2 linked regions of the Arabidopsis thaliana genome follow. The protein of the gene in region 2 interacts with the protein of the main gene of each other region in a pairwise test. Each region holds a gene or a part of one and is shown on either strand. Other genes may lie near its edges.

Evidence for each region. The genes of interacting proteins can lie anywhere in the genome.
Region 1: the proteins of AT5G40880 (region 2) and APL interact in a two-hybrid assay, tested with the Arabidopsis thaliana proteins (one large-scale study listed by BioGRID).

Annotation. Positions count from the first base shown.
Region 1 is NC_003070.9:29,874,963-29,882,912, forward strand, and holds APL (Homeodomain-like superfamily protein), read right to left. Parts: upstream 4,318-7,950; 5' UTR 4,174-4,317; coding exon 3,999-4,173; exon of another isoform or gene 3,909-3,998; coding exon 3,832-3,908; intron 3,696-3,831; coding exon 3,629-3,695; intron 3,500-3,628; coding exon 3,433-3,499; intron 3,347-3,432; coding exon 3,304-3,346; intron 3,207-3,303; coding exon 2,559-3,206; 3' UTR 2,266-2,558; downstream 1-2,265. Other genes in the region: ALDH5F1 (aldehyde dehydrogenase 5F1), read right to left, coding at 7,563-7,601, 7,870-7,947. UniProt on the Arabidopsis thaliana protein: Transcription factor required for phloem identity. Has a dual role both in promoting phloem differentiation and in repressing xylem differentiation during vascular development. Regulates the expression of the transcription factor NAC045 (AC A4VCM0).
Region 2 is NC_003076.8:16,375,312-16,383,980, reverse strand, and holds AT5G40880 (WD-40 repeat family protein / zfwd3 protein (ZFWD3)), read right to left. Parts: upstream 5,089-8,669; 5' UTR 4,501-5,088; coding exon 3,751-4,500; intron 3,645-3,750; coding exon 3,543-3,644; intron 3,434-3,542; coding exon 3,281-3,433; intron 3,190-3,280; coding exon 2,776-3,189; 3' UTR 2,629-2,775; downstream 1-2,628. Other genes in the region: CLC-A (chloride channel A), read left to right, coding at 1-51, 144-321, 420-952, 1,027-2,158, 2,232-2,336; UK/UPRT1 (uridine kinase/uracil phosphoribosyltransferase 1), read right to left, coding at 5,597-5,752, 5,883-5,965, 6,065-6,137, 6,235-6,328, 6,480-6,540, 6,683-6,743, 6,828-6,911, 6,996-7,190 and 5 more.

The DNA.
Region 1 (7,950 bases), on a different chromosome or scaffold from region 2:
GGAAAAATGACGACAGTAGAGAAAGAAGGGACAAGAAAAATAGATGCTTCGGGAATGTACTTTGTTAAGAGAGCATTCTACATCAACACATACCAAAAATAAAGTATCATTTTGAAAAATATAGAATATCAAAAAGAAGTATATTATCTTCTTCTTCTTCTTTTTTTTTTTTTTTTGGAAAACAGAAGAAGTAAGGGAGTAGAAAATGGAATCCAAGGTCGAGATCGTAATGAGGTGCCTACAGAGGATTTGTATGGAAGAATGTGCATAGACCATCCAAGACCGTTACCTTTATTACTTTATTTGTTTATTATAAGTACTTTAGTTTGCTTAACAACCATAATAATTACCATATGATATGTGTACAAACATTAGCTTTACTATTAGCCTATTTAAAATTATGATATACAAGTAAAGCTACGATCACATGCACGTTTATGCATGTGAATGCGAAAAAAAAAAGTAACAGAATGAGATGTTCAGATGGATATATATTAAAAAGCACCGAATAGTTATAATAATTAACTTGTGGTTGGTGTGATTTTATTGTGAAATGAATATTCACAAAACATGCATCATCGTCATTTCGTCGGATCCACTTTGTATATAATGCATCTTCACAATTAAATTGATTATTGTACCATAACTAATTTATTGATAAAGTATATGATATTTCAAATGTATCCCCAAATAATAATTATTTTTAGTTATAATTTATATAGTATTTTTATAATAATAAATAAATAAAAGAAATTTATCTGATTTATTTTTTTTTGTTTTTAATTATTATTACATGGTCGTCTACTCTTTTTTGTCTTCAAATCCAATTAATTAAATAGAAGGAAAAAAACCGAGGAACGTAATTAGAGGGAATTAGTGGGGGCGTATGTAAAAGGAGAAGAGAAGCTTCCTCGAGAAGTGCATACATGGGAGTGCGTTAATATCTCTATGCTTCTCCTTCTTCTTCTTCAATTCTCTTTTTGCCTTTTGTTTTCCTCAGCTTTTAGAGAGAGTGAGAGAGACTGAGAGAGCTTTCTCTTTTACTTGCCAACTTGCAGTGATGACCAGATCTTTATATTTTCTCTCTCTGAACCCAACAAAGTTGATCAGTAATAATTTATATAAACATATACATATATGAGCCGTAATTTGTAGTTGTGACTAAATGGATGCATCGAGTAAGTAAAAATCATAGCAGAGCAAAAATTCTGAATTACAAACATTTTTTCCCGATGTTTGTAAGATCTATAACTAAGCTCCTGAAATTCAATTAAGAATGATCAGTGTAATAATTTTCTTTTGTATAAATATATGTCCTAATTAGTGGTCATATGAAGCAGAAAAGAAATAAAAGAATAAAGAACAAAGATATATACGGAAGGAAAGATAGATACTCAGTGTCGGTTAATTTCTCTTATGACAAGTTCTTTTATTTCTTTTGAAAAGGATCTTGTAGCTATCAATCTCTACATACACACTTACTTACATATGCGTACAACTGCATACACATATACATAGTAGTATCCTACAAAATCAAGTGACTATATATACATTTGAATCAAAGTTTACAGCTTTTCTTGGTGTTTGCATGTGGTTTTCCCAAAACCCTAAAAACCTTTTGCTTTGATGGGGATCATCATCATCATTATCACTTGCGCTGTCCTTTCTTTTTCGTATTTACTTATGATTTTTTTTTACCATAAACTTTATTTTTAAGTTTGATTGAAAATTTAGTTTCCCGATGCAGATATCCCATTTTAGCGTAATCATATATAAGGCATCAAGTACAAACTAACTTGAGATAGAAATAACTAACTCATGAAAAAGCAAAGGGCCCTTCAAAAGCTTTAAAATATCGTACATGCCTTGAAACATGAGCAACCTAGCTCTTAACACATAAATGTTTATTATTTGTCATATATACAGTTACGTTCATGCATGGGATATATATACTGGTTAAGGTAATATACATATGTACTGATTTATCATATACATGTACTAGATATACTTTAGTACATTCACATTTTATATGCCTCTAATTGGCAAACTGTCAAATATGAAAATCGTACAAGTATGTACATATGAAATAAAATTGCGGATGTAAGAAATTAAACTTAATTTATTTGAAATTGCCATTAAAAAAAGCTATCAAACATAGAATATGAAAATAGCTAGTTAACCATAAAAGGCAACTACAGATTTTATGTGGGTGATAAAAGAATAACAAAACATATATTCGGCAATTCTACTGAGACTAACAATGTAAAGATCAATCATCAAACAGTTGACTAGAAGAAATAAGTAACGAATAAGTACAAAATATATAGATCCTAAAATATTATAAGAACAGCAATAATATATAGTTTCCGTACAGATTATAAAACACGAGCAAAACTAATCCGGTAAACATAACAAAGCTTATATATTTTTTATTTTTTTTTGTTTTGTTTTGTTTTGTCTCATCTCTAAACCCTACGTCAAACTCACAATGACAAAACATATATATCTCGTTCTTACATTCCCATGCATCACTCATAGATAAAAATTAATAAATTGTATCACCCAAATGGCGAGTTTCTTCCTTGTATTAATCCACCATTAGGGTTCATCATAGGACTCAATGGTGATCTCCTAGGCGATGGCCTTTCCAGTAATTTCCCACCATTATTCCCTTCATCACCTGATAAACCTGATTTCCTTTCGTAGATCTCCGACAAAGAATCCAAATCCGTGGAGACATGTGTAGCCATCTGTATCTGAATTCTATGCTCATCATCGATCGATTGGTTTGCGGAAAGATCGTGATCTTGATCAGACCACATCAATAGTCCTTTCCTTACATCGTTACCAAAATTAGGATTAGGTCGCTTCTTCCCCAAGTAAATGTTGGTGTCTGCAGCATTGTTACCCGTGAAATGGTTCTCTATGTTTTGATGATGGAAGTTGTGATGGTCGAGGACTTGGTCGGTTGTGTTTCCATAGATGTTTAGGTCTTGAAACGGCGGGAAACTAAGAGGATGAGGAGGTGGGCCCACCGCTGCTGAAAGACTCGAACTTCCCAGATTACCCTTGTATCCTCCTCCGACGGCGGCTGCTGCGGTGGCGGCTGCCATGTTCTCACCGGCTAGGGTTTGGCAAGCTCTCTCCAAGATAGATTGCATGTACTTTCCTTGTGCTTCAATCCTCAGTTGCAGATGTCTTTGCACCTATAAAAATTGAATGAAATCATTTACTATATTTATGGGATACAAATTGATTTTGTACAAGCAGTTATCATAGAATATCTATAGGTTAATTAATTACCTCTAGCTGTTCATGCAACCTTCTCTGCACTTCCATTTGCATCCTGATCAAACCAACCTGGTGTGAGTTGCTGTAATATATATTAAAATGAAAGTTGAGAAAATTAACGAAATCTGATTAAAATATTACTCATTCATGTTGCGACTCATCATGCCAGAAGAAGAAGCTACGTTGCGCTGAATATCCATGGCAGAAGCTACACGTACGGTAAAAAAAATTAGAAGAAGACGGATCAAAGAACATATATATACATTAATACATATCTATATTATGGGTAACTTTTTTATAAAAACCCTAATTTGATAGAGAAAGGAAGAGTGGTCACCTCTTGAACCTTCCTTTGTGGAGTGATCTCCGTACTCCTTGTGCGGCTGCTTTCCAAGCCTGAATTTCTGCACCCATAGATCCAAATAAGTTGTTAGATTATTATATTATATTATTAAGTGAAAAAAAGAATAGAAAAGATAAAGAGGAGAGAAAATTAAAAGCAAGGAAGAAAAAAACCCTAATCTATATTTGTGTACATACCTGAAGATGGCTCTTTAGGTGGTAAAGAGTAAGACCCTTCACACCCATAACTCTCATAATCGTCTTTGGGGTCGCTTCTGCAAATAGAAATGATCAAAAACTTTGAAAAAACACATTTATAATTGGTTAAATGGATTGAATATATATTTGTGTATGTGTGTTCATACTGTCGGGGCCGCCGAGCTGAGCGACGGCGTCCACAAAACGCTCGTGGAGTTCGACGGTCCAACGCAAACGCGGTTTAGGGTCGGTGGTGAGGACAAGGCCTGAATCGCCTTGAACGCACATAGCTCTGTTCTCATATGAACCATTCATACTTGAAGGTTTCTTAGCATGGAACATTCTCTCTCTCTCTCTCTCTGACTCTCTTTCTCTCTCTGAAAGAGGGGATTCAAGAAACGAATGTGATGCAAAAATGTGAGAGAATACGATGCGTTTTTGAAGAGATCAGATGACGGCTTTTTTTTCTCTCTCTCGTCTTTTTTGTTTTGTTTGTAAATAAATTATGGTTTAGTTAAATATGTTTTATCGTTAGTAAGGAAGAGAACTAAAGTTTCAGACTAGTACACAGACGTTCCTTTGTGAAAAGATACTGTCGCTATCTTTTTCATTTGTGTTTTTTATCCTCTTAGCTTGAATACCTTTGAATTTCTTTCAATATAAAATGTGTGTAAAAGCCACTATACGTATACATTAAGTAAATCATGTCTGTCTCAGATTATTAAATTACTGCGCAAACTTAAAATAATAGTATATATTAGATATTAAATTGATATCTTTGGGGGAAATTGAATTTTGAACATCGGAGATCTCATATCAAAACGGTTATGGATGTGACGACGAAAAAAACAAAAAAAAAAGACGAAAAAAAGCGGTTACGGATGTATCTAATATATATGCATGATTTGTTGCATGATGGTTTTTATTTCTTTATTTCCTGATATAAACATTAAAATGACTTGAGATATCTAAGTTAAAATATAATTCACCTGAATCAAAGATATTGCACATCTATTATTCTTATATTTTTGGTTTCTTTTTCTTTACTACCTTATAATTTAGAAGTAATTTTTAAATCCAAATTTATCATACAATTGTTCTATATACTATTTTCTTAATCATGCTTGATTTGGAGTAAATAGTAATCAAAGATTTGTAAATATTTTCTTTATAGGAAAATATAAACTTTTAAAGTGAATATATTAAAGTTCTATGTATTCTATTCAATTAAGACCGCACGAGGAGAGTCGTATACTAGACTTATAGTTTGTCTACATCGTCATATATCGTAATTGGAGGCATACATACAAATATCTTAACGAAACAAATTCCACAAGGCTAGGGATTTTATCATTTATGGTAGGGTAAACCTTTTTGGCTAATTATGAGGTGAATATACAATTCTAAGCAATGATGAGCTTCGTTATAAATTAATAGACCGTATATTTTTGGAACAAATTTATTATATACATGCAATCCAAAACCGTTAGGTACGGTGGAATATTTGTCTACGACAAAAACGTTTTCCATTCATCGATTAGTAAAAGATGTAGTTTACATCCGCAATTAACTAGCTAGCAAAAGAAAAAAGAAACAAAAAGGTGAACAAACGAGATAATTAACTAAATTACTTGTATGGACACTACAAACCAGAAAATCAACTTTGTTAATATTGCCCTATTAGCTACTAAACTAGCTTATGTATAGAACGACGATGCATTTTTCAATATACAAACTAAAATCATATATAATTCATATACGCAACGATTTAGATTAACCCCTAAATTCAATTGCATGCATGTAAAATAAATGGTCAACCTAAATATATATGAGTGGGAGGTCCCATAGCATATTTACATAGAACAAGAATAAGTCAATGAATATGGCTGAGGCTGATATGCACACACAAAAAAGAGAGAATATTATCTAAGAATAAAATTTGAATTGAATCAGAAATTTATTAGAGGTTATATATTAAGTATTAATTAAGGGAAAGCATGTACATGTTAAAATGTAGACCAATACCAGTCAATGAATATTGAATTAAAACAAAAAAATTAACATAAGAATATGGAACAATTTTTTAAAGTTATACATATTATAAACACGGACTATTAATATGTGGAGAATTATGCATCAATGTGTAAAGATAGAGTTAACGTTGGGGACCTCTTCTTCTACTTATTAAAGCTCTTTTATTCTTTTTATTTTTACCATATGTTTTTCTTCTTTTCTCCATTTTAATTTATTGGTTAAAGCTTGCTGGGGCTATAACCTTTTTTGGCTTTTGTAGGACTGACGATTGTGCAGCTATACATGGTAACACATTTTTCAGATATTAATTTCTTGGAATAAATAAAAAAACAGTGTTTTTCTTTGCCAGAAATGTTAAAAATCTTGGCTGTGAAACGAATTATTTGTACAATAAATTAAATTAATCAATTACCGCACACAATTCTGACCAAGATAAAATAAGAAAATGGTTATAACTTTTGAATTTAAATATTAAATCAAAGTTCAAATTGCATGAGAATTGGAATCGATTCTTCTCCTCTTTGATGAATAAAGATAGATTCTTATTGCGCCAACAATATTAAAAAATGAAAATACAACTCCCGCGATAGATGCCAACCGTATAAACTTGGCCAGCCACATTTACATAGTTTACTAGACTTTTTATTTTTTCTTACCACTTTTTGAGTATAGATACACACATATATTATTCCTACTTATATTATCACGATATTTGTGTTTTCACAATCATCATCACTATTATCTACAAAATTGATTCATAGTGATATGATGCATATTAGCATTAGCAAATCATCCGCCCTAAAATCATTTAAGTTCTCATCTTTCTTTATTAATGTTTTCAATAATGATTTTAAGCTAAATTGTATTTTGCTTTGAAAAAAAGAAACCAAAGTTTTTGTTTTTAGTTAAACCAAGTAAAGCTAATGTTTAACTTTTAGCTAATTGTTGTTGAAGCAAACTAAGAGCTTAAAGAAAGAAAGAAATGAAATTAGTGACAATAAAGTAAGTCGGCTTATAAAAAAATAGAGGCCACAGTTGCTTGAACTTCAAGCATCTTTTTGTGATGGTGCTTTGGGATTTCTTCTCCGAAATGAATATATTCCTTCTAACCTTCTTATCTTTTCCCCACTTAAAAAAACTACAAACAAAAATAAAATCCCAACTTTGGCATAGAGCCATGTAATCTAACGCTATTTTGAAACATAACTGATCCAATTTTTTTGAATAATTAATATTTTAATATATAACACTAAATTCGATAAATCGATCGACTGTTAATAAGTCATAATCCTCCAAAACATTGTCACATGAGACATAAAGCGTTTATAAATAGTAATGACAAGATACTGATGAAAAAAGAAAAATAAACCCAATCGATTTCTAAAAATTGCTGATAAATGAAGCAAAGAACAACAACGTTTATTTTTTTATTTTTTTGGGTATATCCAAAGCAAAAATTGTCCGAATTACAAAAATTAACGTAAAACAAAGAAAAAAATAACGTAAACAAAGATAAATAAAATGGAAACCCCAAATTATTACTTAAAAATCATGCTAACAATTGGTCGTAGACCAAATCTTTATTTCTTAAGAAGTATCCTCCGAATCCTTATTATGTTCCACAGTAAGCTTTTATTAGAAGGATACGAGTGGAGGAGAAAAACTTACAATTTCTAAAGCTTTTCAAACAAACCAAATCAGTGTCTATTCATATCTCCCAAGCATACGTATTTGATCTGCGTCAAAGCCAAGAGCCCAGAATCAATAAATGAAAAGTAGTAATTTGCAAAACTTTATGCTTATAAACAATTCAAAAGACAGATTCGCATCGATAGTCTCTGTGTTATAGTTGGAGTTTGGGAGCAATCGCATGACAGGAAAATGTAAAACTAACCACCTATAAGGCTATAACCTTGCAGACTTTATTACGTAGATTTCTAATATTATATAAGACCTATCAACTGAAGCGAGTTCAATAAGAGAGAAATGAGTGTTGTGAGTTACCTCAAGGTATTCGTCCATACCATACTTGGATCCTTCCCTTCCAAGACCAGACTGCTTCACTCCCCCGAATGGAGCCACCTG
Region 2 (8,669 bases):
CATCGCCGGTTACAAACTTCTCGCCGTCGGCTACTACATTGCTCAAGATAGGTATTGACTCATCAGCCAAATCTTGAAAAACAAAACAGTCAAGATCAAGAAATTGAGATACCTTGTATGACAAGTTTATGTTTTTGAAATAGGTTTTGGACAGGTCTGATGGTCTTTACGGGGGCGAATTTGGGTCTGACTTTGGTGGCGACAGTACTTGTTGTTTACTTTGCTCCTACGGCGGCTGGTCCGGGGATCCCTGAGATTAAAGCTTACCTTAATGGCATTGACACTCCCAATATGTTTGGTTTTACCACCATGATGGTTAAGGTTTGTTTCTTAAACCTTCACAAAGTTTGAAGCTTCCCACAAAGTTAGTGTGAGATCTTTTGTTTTACTGATGGATTTTGCGGTTTTTTTCCGATTAGATTGTTGGAAGTATTGGAGCGGTTGCAGCTGGACTTGATCTTGGTAAAGAAGGGCCATTGGTTCATATTGGAAGTTGCATAGCTTCTTTGCTTGGTCAAGGTGGTCCAGATAATCACAGAATCAAATGGAGATGGCTTCGTTACTTCAACAACGATAGAGATCGAAGAGATCTTATTACATGTGGATCTGCCTCTGGAGTATGTGCTGCTTTCAGGTCACCAGTAGGAGGAGTACTTTTCGCTCTTGAGGAAGTCGCTACGTGGTGGAGAAGCGCTCTCTTGTGGAGAACATTCTTCAGTACAGCCGTTGTGGTGGTTGTATTAAGAGCGTTCATTGAGATTTGTAACTCCGGGAAATGCGGACTTTTCGGCTCAGGAGGACTCATTATGTTCGATGTGAGTCATGTAGAGGTTAGGTACCACGCAGCAGATATAATCCCAGTCACATTGATTGGAGTCTTTGGTGGCATTCTTGGAAGCTTGTACAATCATCTTCTGCATAAAGTTCTCCGGCTTTACAATCTCATCAACCAGTAAGTGTTTATGAACGTTCAAGAGTCTTAAAGATTTCTTTTTACTTAACATTGTTTGGTAAATTTTGGTGTAGGAAGGGAAAGATTCATAAGGTGCTTCTAAGTCTTGGGGTATCTCTATTCACATCAGTTTGCTTGTTCGGTCTTCCTTTCTTAGCGGAATGCAAGCCTTGTGATCCTTCTATAGACGAGATATGTCCAACAAACGGAAGATCAGGAAATTTCAAGCAATTCAACTGTCCAAATGGTTATTACAACGATCTATCCACTCTGCTTCTCACAACCAATGATGATGCAGTCAGAAACATTTTCTCTTCAAACACTCCTAATGAGTTTGGCATGGTTTCTCTCTGGATATTCTTTGGCCTCTACTGCATTTTGGGTCTTATAACATTCGGTATAGCGACACCGTCGGGTCTCTTCCTACCGATTATCCTCATGGGTTCTGCATACGGTAGGATGCTAGGCACAGCAATGGGGTCTTACACAAACATAGATCAAGGGCTTTACGCGGTTCTTGGTGCAGCTTCACTCATGGCTGGTTCAATGAGAATGACTGTTTCACTCTGTGTTATATTTCTGGAACTCACCAACAACCTTCTTTTGTTGCCCATTACAATGTTTGTGCTTCTGATAGCTAAAACAGTAGGTGACAGCTTCAATCTAAGTATCTACGAGATCATTCTCCATCTTAAGGGCTTACCTTTCTTGGAAGCAAATCCAGAGCCGTGGATGAGGAATCTCACTGTAGGTGAGCTTAACGACGCTAAGCCTCCGGTTGTAACACTTAACGGAGTAGAAAAAGTGGCAAATATAGTCGATGTACTAAGGAACACAACGCATAACGCATTCCCAGTCTTGGATGGAGCAGATCAAAACACTGGCACAGAGCTCCATGGTCTGATCCTAAGAGCTCACCTTGTGAAAGTTCTGAAAAAGAGATGGTTCTTGAATGAGAAAAGGAGAACAGAAGAGTGGGAAGTTAGGGAAAAGTTCACACCGGTTGAATTAGCTGAGAGAGAAGATAACTTCGATGATGTTGCAATCACAAGCTCAGAGATGCAATTGTATGTTGATCTTCATCCTTTGACCAACACTACACCTTACACAGTGGTGCAAAGTATGTCAGTGGCTAAAGCTTTGGTTCTGTTCCGGTCAGTGGGTCTCAGACATTTACTGGTGGTTCCCAAGATTCAAGCTTCAGGGGTAAGTTTGCTTTTTTACTCTCTTGATTCAAGATTCAAGAACACTACTAAACGTGTGTCTTGTGTTGTTGCAGATGTCACCTGTGATAGGGATCTTAACAAGGCAAGATCTCAGGGCTTATAACATTCTACAAGCATTTCCTCACTTGGATAAACACAAAAGTGGAAAAGCTAGATGAATAAGCCAAAATGCAAAGAGCGTTCACTATTATTTGGTTTGTGTGATTCGTGTGTCTTTCCACATTCTTAGTTGATATATATTCTGTCCAGTTTTGCTTGCATTCTTCCTTCAAGACCAAAAACAAATTATACCATTTGGTAGATTTGTGTTTTCTACTTGTAAATCTCCTTTTTTTTCCCCACGTTTTCAGTTTCAAAAGAAGAAGAATAAGAAATTTGAATACAGAACAAAACTTTGAAGCTTCCATGGAGTTCACAAATCTTTTAAGGAATTGTGTTAAATAAACATCTTTCTATGAGAGAACGGATATGAAAATATTACTTTCTTTTATCTTGGCAACATTAAAAGTTATTACATTAATGCAAGGATTTAGAATCAACCACCAATGTATATGTACAAATTAAATGAAAATCAATAGTCGAAAATTGTTAAAACGACTAAACTTTGGTGCCAGAAGCTAAGCTCCATACACGCAAGTTCCCACTCTTGTCTCCACTGAATAACAATCCTCCAGGACCAATTGTAAGTGTGCAGATCGTCTGCGTAGAGAACATCTTTCCTCTTTCTTCAAAAGATGGTAGGTCGAAAATGCCAACTGCTCCATTTTGGTAAGAGCAAAACATGATCGGTTTGGCCTCTGCATCGTGCATTCCACAGAGAGTATGAACACTCAGTTCTTGTTTGCGAGTTTGAACAACTTTCAAACTTTCATTTTCAGAACAAGCCCAAAGTTTTATGGTCCCATCCAAGGAAGACGATATCAGACACTTGTCCCAACATAAGAGTGAAGTGACAGTGCCGATATGTTGCTTCAGGGTCATTCTACATTGCAAGGTGTTGAGATCCCACACCTAGAACCACAGCAAACAGAAGTTATTAGAATGCATTCAAAATAAGATTAAAGATGAAATCATTTTGTATTTAGTAGCAGCCATATCTTACCTTTATTGTTTTATCGACAGAACCAGAGTATAGCACTTCACCTCCAACAACAAAACAAGTGACTTCACCACTATGATGTCCCTCGAGAGATGTCAAGTATTTGAATGGATCAGACTCCGAGTCTGTAGCTTTCCAGACTAATATACTACCAGACTGCAATTCCAAAAAAGACAAAAGAAACTTATTAGTATAGATCCAACAAAGAAGCAGAGAACCTAACACATGTATAGAGAAGATAGAGAGTTAAGTTAAAAATGCTTACACTTGTTCCAGCAAAAAGCATTCCGTTTGCAGCAGTCATTGCATGCACCTGACCAACCACCCCTTCAAGATGCACATCTTTACTGTTTTGAACGTTAAAAGCCTGCAAAATTGATAAACAAAAACTTTAACACCAGAATCAACTGAGTTTAACGAACAGAATTTAGATAACAGAAGAATATTTGTGTTAAGAGACGCCTTAAACTAACCTTTACAGCGTTTGGCAAGCCAAGGAAAACCCATGGTCCTTCACTAATTAGAGACCCTGCTTCTGCCTGGAGGTTGATGGATCGAACACACTGACCAGAATTGCAGTCCCAAATTAGCAATGTACCATCACCACTGACTGAAAAGAGTTTATCTGAACCCTGAGGAAGGGCGATTCCCTTAATATCATTCTTGTGTCCTTCAAGAGCAGCTACCATGGCCAGTCCAGGAAAACAAGACCAAGAGTGTAAGAACTGGCATTTCTCGCCCTTTTTGCAGTTTCCATCTTTCCAAAAATTACACACACTCTTTTTGGGACTGCCATTGAGTCTCGGCCCACAACCTCTGGTGTCTGAAAGAGAAGAGCTCCTTGGCCCATACACAGCATTCTTCCTCGGCTGGTTTGATACACGATGTCCTGTGCCTATAACTTGTGGTTTCGCTGACCCATTGGCTGCATTCTGCCTTGGCCTGTTTCCCTCTGGTGATTTGTACTCTTTTGACGTCCAAACCAGATTCCTTGACAACTTATTAGGACCTTTCTTCATACCATTGTCATACGGGGCATAAGGTCTTCTCGTAACTATATCTGCTGCAAAATCTTGCTGTCTCGCAACTCCAAAATTCCTTCCGTGTGAGTATTTCCTTGGCGCCTTGTAATCCATACTAAACATTGAGAAAACACCAACTTTAGAAGACTGAACCACAGAGTCGATAACTGTTTGCTTCATCCATGATGACTGATGACCCATACATAAATTTTCACAAGGGTAACAAGTCCAGAAGCAAGGAGTTTCTGAATTCCCCAATCGCTAGAGAATCAAAAGCAACACATTCTTCTGTCTGTAACCCCAAATTCAATCCAGGTATCATAGAGCACCACGTCCACAGAAAAAACCAAATAAATCTCTAATTCAGAACTCTAAACCTATAATTCATCACCTAAAACCTATTCAAAACCCTAACACTAACAACAAGAAGAGAAGATGTAGCTCCGACAATGTACATAGAAGAGAAACTCGAATCCATAATCCTTATCGGTGAAACCCTAAGATTTATCCATATCCATATCGGTGGAAACCCTAGATCTCTGGGTATCGATGCGAATAGGAGGATCGCGAATCGAGGAGATGAAGAAACGCAACCCAAAGTGAAAGCAGGAAGAAGAAGGCATCATCATAATCGCGGAGAAAACGTAGTCGAAGAAGAAGCAAACCTGAGAGATAAAACGTATGTTGAATCTAGATCTTCGATTAGGGAACGGTTTCGAACTCGATCGCAGAGAGAGCCAAAAGAAAAGGAAATTTAGAGACGGAGGAAATTGAAGGTCAAGAGTCGACTGAAATAAAACTATAGGTCTTGCATAGGAGTGGTGTATTTATAGATGAGCGTGTGGCGGTTACGCTACATTAATTTATAGTTGGGCTTAACTTAGGCCCATCATTCGTGGGTCCAACTAAGGTTAAATTCTATCATTAGGTTTAGGTCATAATCCCTAAACCCTAAGATCCTTAAGAAAAATGGTAAATATATATTAATCAACATGTAAATAAAGAAATTAAAATTAGAGAGAACTGGAATTTTCGTACGATTGTCAAAATCATGTATAAAAGGATTGGTTATGTCTTTTTCCACCGGTTTAGAAAACTAGCATTGTCCCGATCATTTTTTTAATGAGAAAATTAACGTAGTTTTTCAAAAATAATTCAAGTAAGCAAGAGGAGCTTCATAAACAATAAGATAAAGATTCTTTAGCACAAACTACAAAGACATGCAAGTGCCTCTACTGTCGCTCTAGTCATAAATTTAGGCTTTTCCTTTGAAACCAGTCACAGTGTTGAGTGGTGGCTACTGGTCTTCCTCGTCGGTGCCGAAGTAACGATCGCCAAACTCGCCTAAGCCCGGTATAACTCTGAATTCTTGGTTCAGACATTGGTCTATTTCAGACGTCACAATTTTCAATGCTGGAAAACGTTTGCAGACACAGTGGATTCCCTCCGGCGCCTGTCAGAAAGCAAGGTCATGACGAGGGAAAGAGAGAAGCAAAGAGATAGAGAAGCAGATACATAATGAGATCTTTAGCTTCTACATTCACAAAAGAGCGAAAGATCGATATATAGCTTTTTACACTCACCGATATAAGGTTGAGGAATATAATGTGAGCTTCAGGAACACCTTTCTGTATGAGTAGTTCAATGGCTTGATTAGCCGAGTTACCTTCAAGAAGAAGCAATATCACGAGATATGAATTTCGAGAACCAAAAATCCATCAAAAAGGACCAAAATCGAAATATACAGCGTAGAGAGACAGAGTACCTGTGGCTAAGACAGGATCTAGAAGCAGGACATGGCGTTCAGATATGTCGTGAGGAAGCTTCTCATAAATAAGCTGATTATCACGACAAGAGAAACTTCAAAATTCGTGTTTATAAAAAGAGATTATACTTGATACTTTTAAAAACAGAGCAAAATATTAATAGGAAGACCTGTTTTCCATTATCGCCATCACGGTGGATGAGAATCTTCCCTATTTTAATTCCTTTGCAGCAAGCGCGTAATGCATTTTCCATGCTTTCACCACTAGGAAAAACATACAAAACAGAAACCACGTAGGAGAGATAATTTAATCGCAAACAAGTAAATTTATGCCTTGCATGATGTAAAACAGTTGGAAGAATAAGCATCTTATCATATCAAACTTAACCAAATACAATACCTTTCAAAGGCTCACCTTCTAATAATTGAGACCCCACAAAGTTTCTTGCAGAAATCAACACCGGTATATACAGCTCCTGGTGTGGAAAAGATAAGTTTAAATGAGTTGAATAAGCTAACTCTAACTAGATTGACGTGAAGGAGACGGACATCTGATGACCAAGTTATATAAAAAAGTGTATACAGTATTGTTACAGCTCATGCATTCTCTTCTCATACCTGTTGGAGTAACTACTTGTTTCTCAGTGAATGGCAAATGACCAAGACCATGCTCCACGACCTGAAATTGAACTGATATTAGTTAAAATAAGAAAGCCTGAAAAGTGAGTGACGTTGAAAGAGAAGACATAAGGGAGAGATATACCAGACGAATGAGTCTATCTGAATAAAACACAAAGTCATGCTTTGATATGTCCTTTTCCCGAATAAGTGTATGCATGCCTCTTATCTGCAATCATGATCCTATAGTGAGACCATCGATAACACTTACCATCTAAATCAAGTATCAAAGAGAGCAAGAGTGAGAAAATACCTGAAATGTTGACTGGATAACATAAACATTTGGGTAGATTTTGCAGAGATCATGCTGCCCAAGTTTTGTGTGGATATGTTGCGTAATCAAATCGACTGCAACGTGATTATCACCTCCTCGAGGAATGATCACGTCAGCATATTTCTTTGAAGGGAGCACGAAGTCATCAAATGCCGGCTTCACAAACTTTGCATACTGTAAACGAACATAACATCCTCAGAAAACAAATTAGGCACATGGGAAGCTCAGAAGATAAAAGAGATGTTTTACAGAGGAGCATCTCAAAGGATGGAATAAGAACATATAGAGTTATCTAGTAAAAAAACAACAGTAGGAAGCAGAAAAGGAAGAAGAAACCAGAGAAGAGACACAATGAGATGTTCCCTAGAGCAGAATTTCCATGTATTTACTCATGTCTCATATACACACACAAAATAAAGCTACCTAACTAGGTTAGATGAACCTATGCTTACAAATCCTACAGCATAAATCGAAAAGAGGACTGACCTGTTCAAGCACAGAATTGACATCCCTACCCCTCTCAACTGTGTCACGCCTAATTCTGCGAGCAAGCCTTACATCAGCATCTGAAACCATTTAATAGCTTATGTTGAGGACTAGAGAGAAGTGAAAAAGATTCCAAGGAGATAGACAACTTTGATTACAAAATATCATTTCCAGGTATACAAAACTAATAAGGTTATCCAAAGAGTGAAAAAGGATGAGTAGCGCAAGACATATGCATGTTTTGGGGAAACAAAAAGGCATAGCGGTTGATACCTGTATCAACAAAGATCTTCATATTCATCAGATTCCGAACTCGTGAGTCATGGAAAACTAGAATCCCTTCCAATATTATTACATCAGAAGCATTGACCTGACAGAGGCTCCCAACAGATATTAAGTTTAAAGGGAATGAATATATGCTAATATGCCCATTAAGTTAAAATAGGAACACATAAATAAGAGATTCAAATCACATGAGCACAAGAACCACAATAATGGTCTTGGACATAAGAGTAAGCACCTGGCGGAAAGTATCAGATCTACGTTGATGAGTCTTAAAGTCATAGATTGGAACTTGATAGGGTTGCCCGCTCTTGAGAGTCTCAGCACAATGCAAAAGCTGCTCAGTGTCAAACGCATCTGCAAAAGAATACCAAATGCTGCTGTCAGCTGAACCGCAGTGTACTTAAAACCAAAATACAAGCAAGCAGTGAGAAGAAAATTCAAGAAAAACGATTAAGTTAGTTTACCAGGATGATCAAAGTTATACTCTTGCACACGCTGCAACTCCTCAGATGTCAAACCACGATAAAAGGAATCCTAATCAACAAAAGATATCAAACATTATAAGATGTGAATCTCATACAGAATAAAGTGGGACATTGAGAACAAGATTGAAGCAATAGAATCAAACCTGATTAACTAAAACGACACGATGGTCATGAAGTTGCTGGATTATCATGTCACAGACCGTGGTCTTACCAGAAGCCGTACCACCAGAAACCCCTGTCAAAAGGTCAAATCAAACAAAACGTCAAAAAAAAAAAAAAACGATACTTTAATACAATTGAAACCAAATTAGTTCTGTTAAATCTCAGGAGCACAAAAAATGCTACCATACTCAGAGGTTCTATCATCAAAACCCTAGATTCCAACGAAGTTAATGCA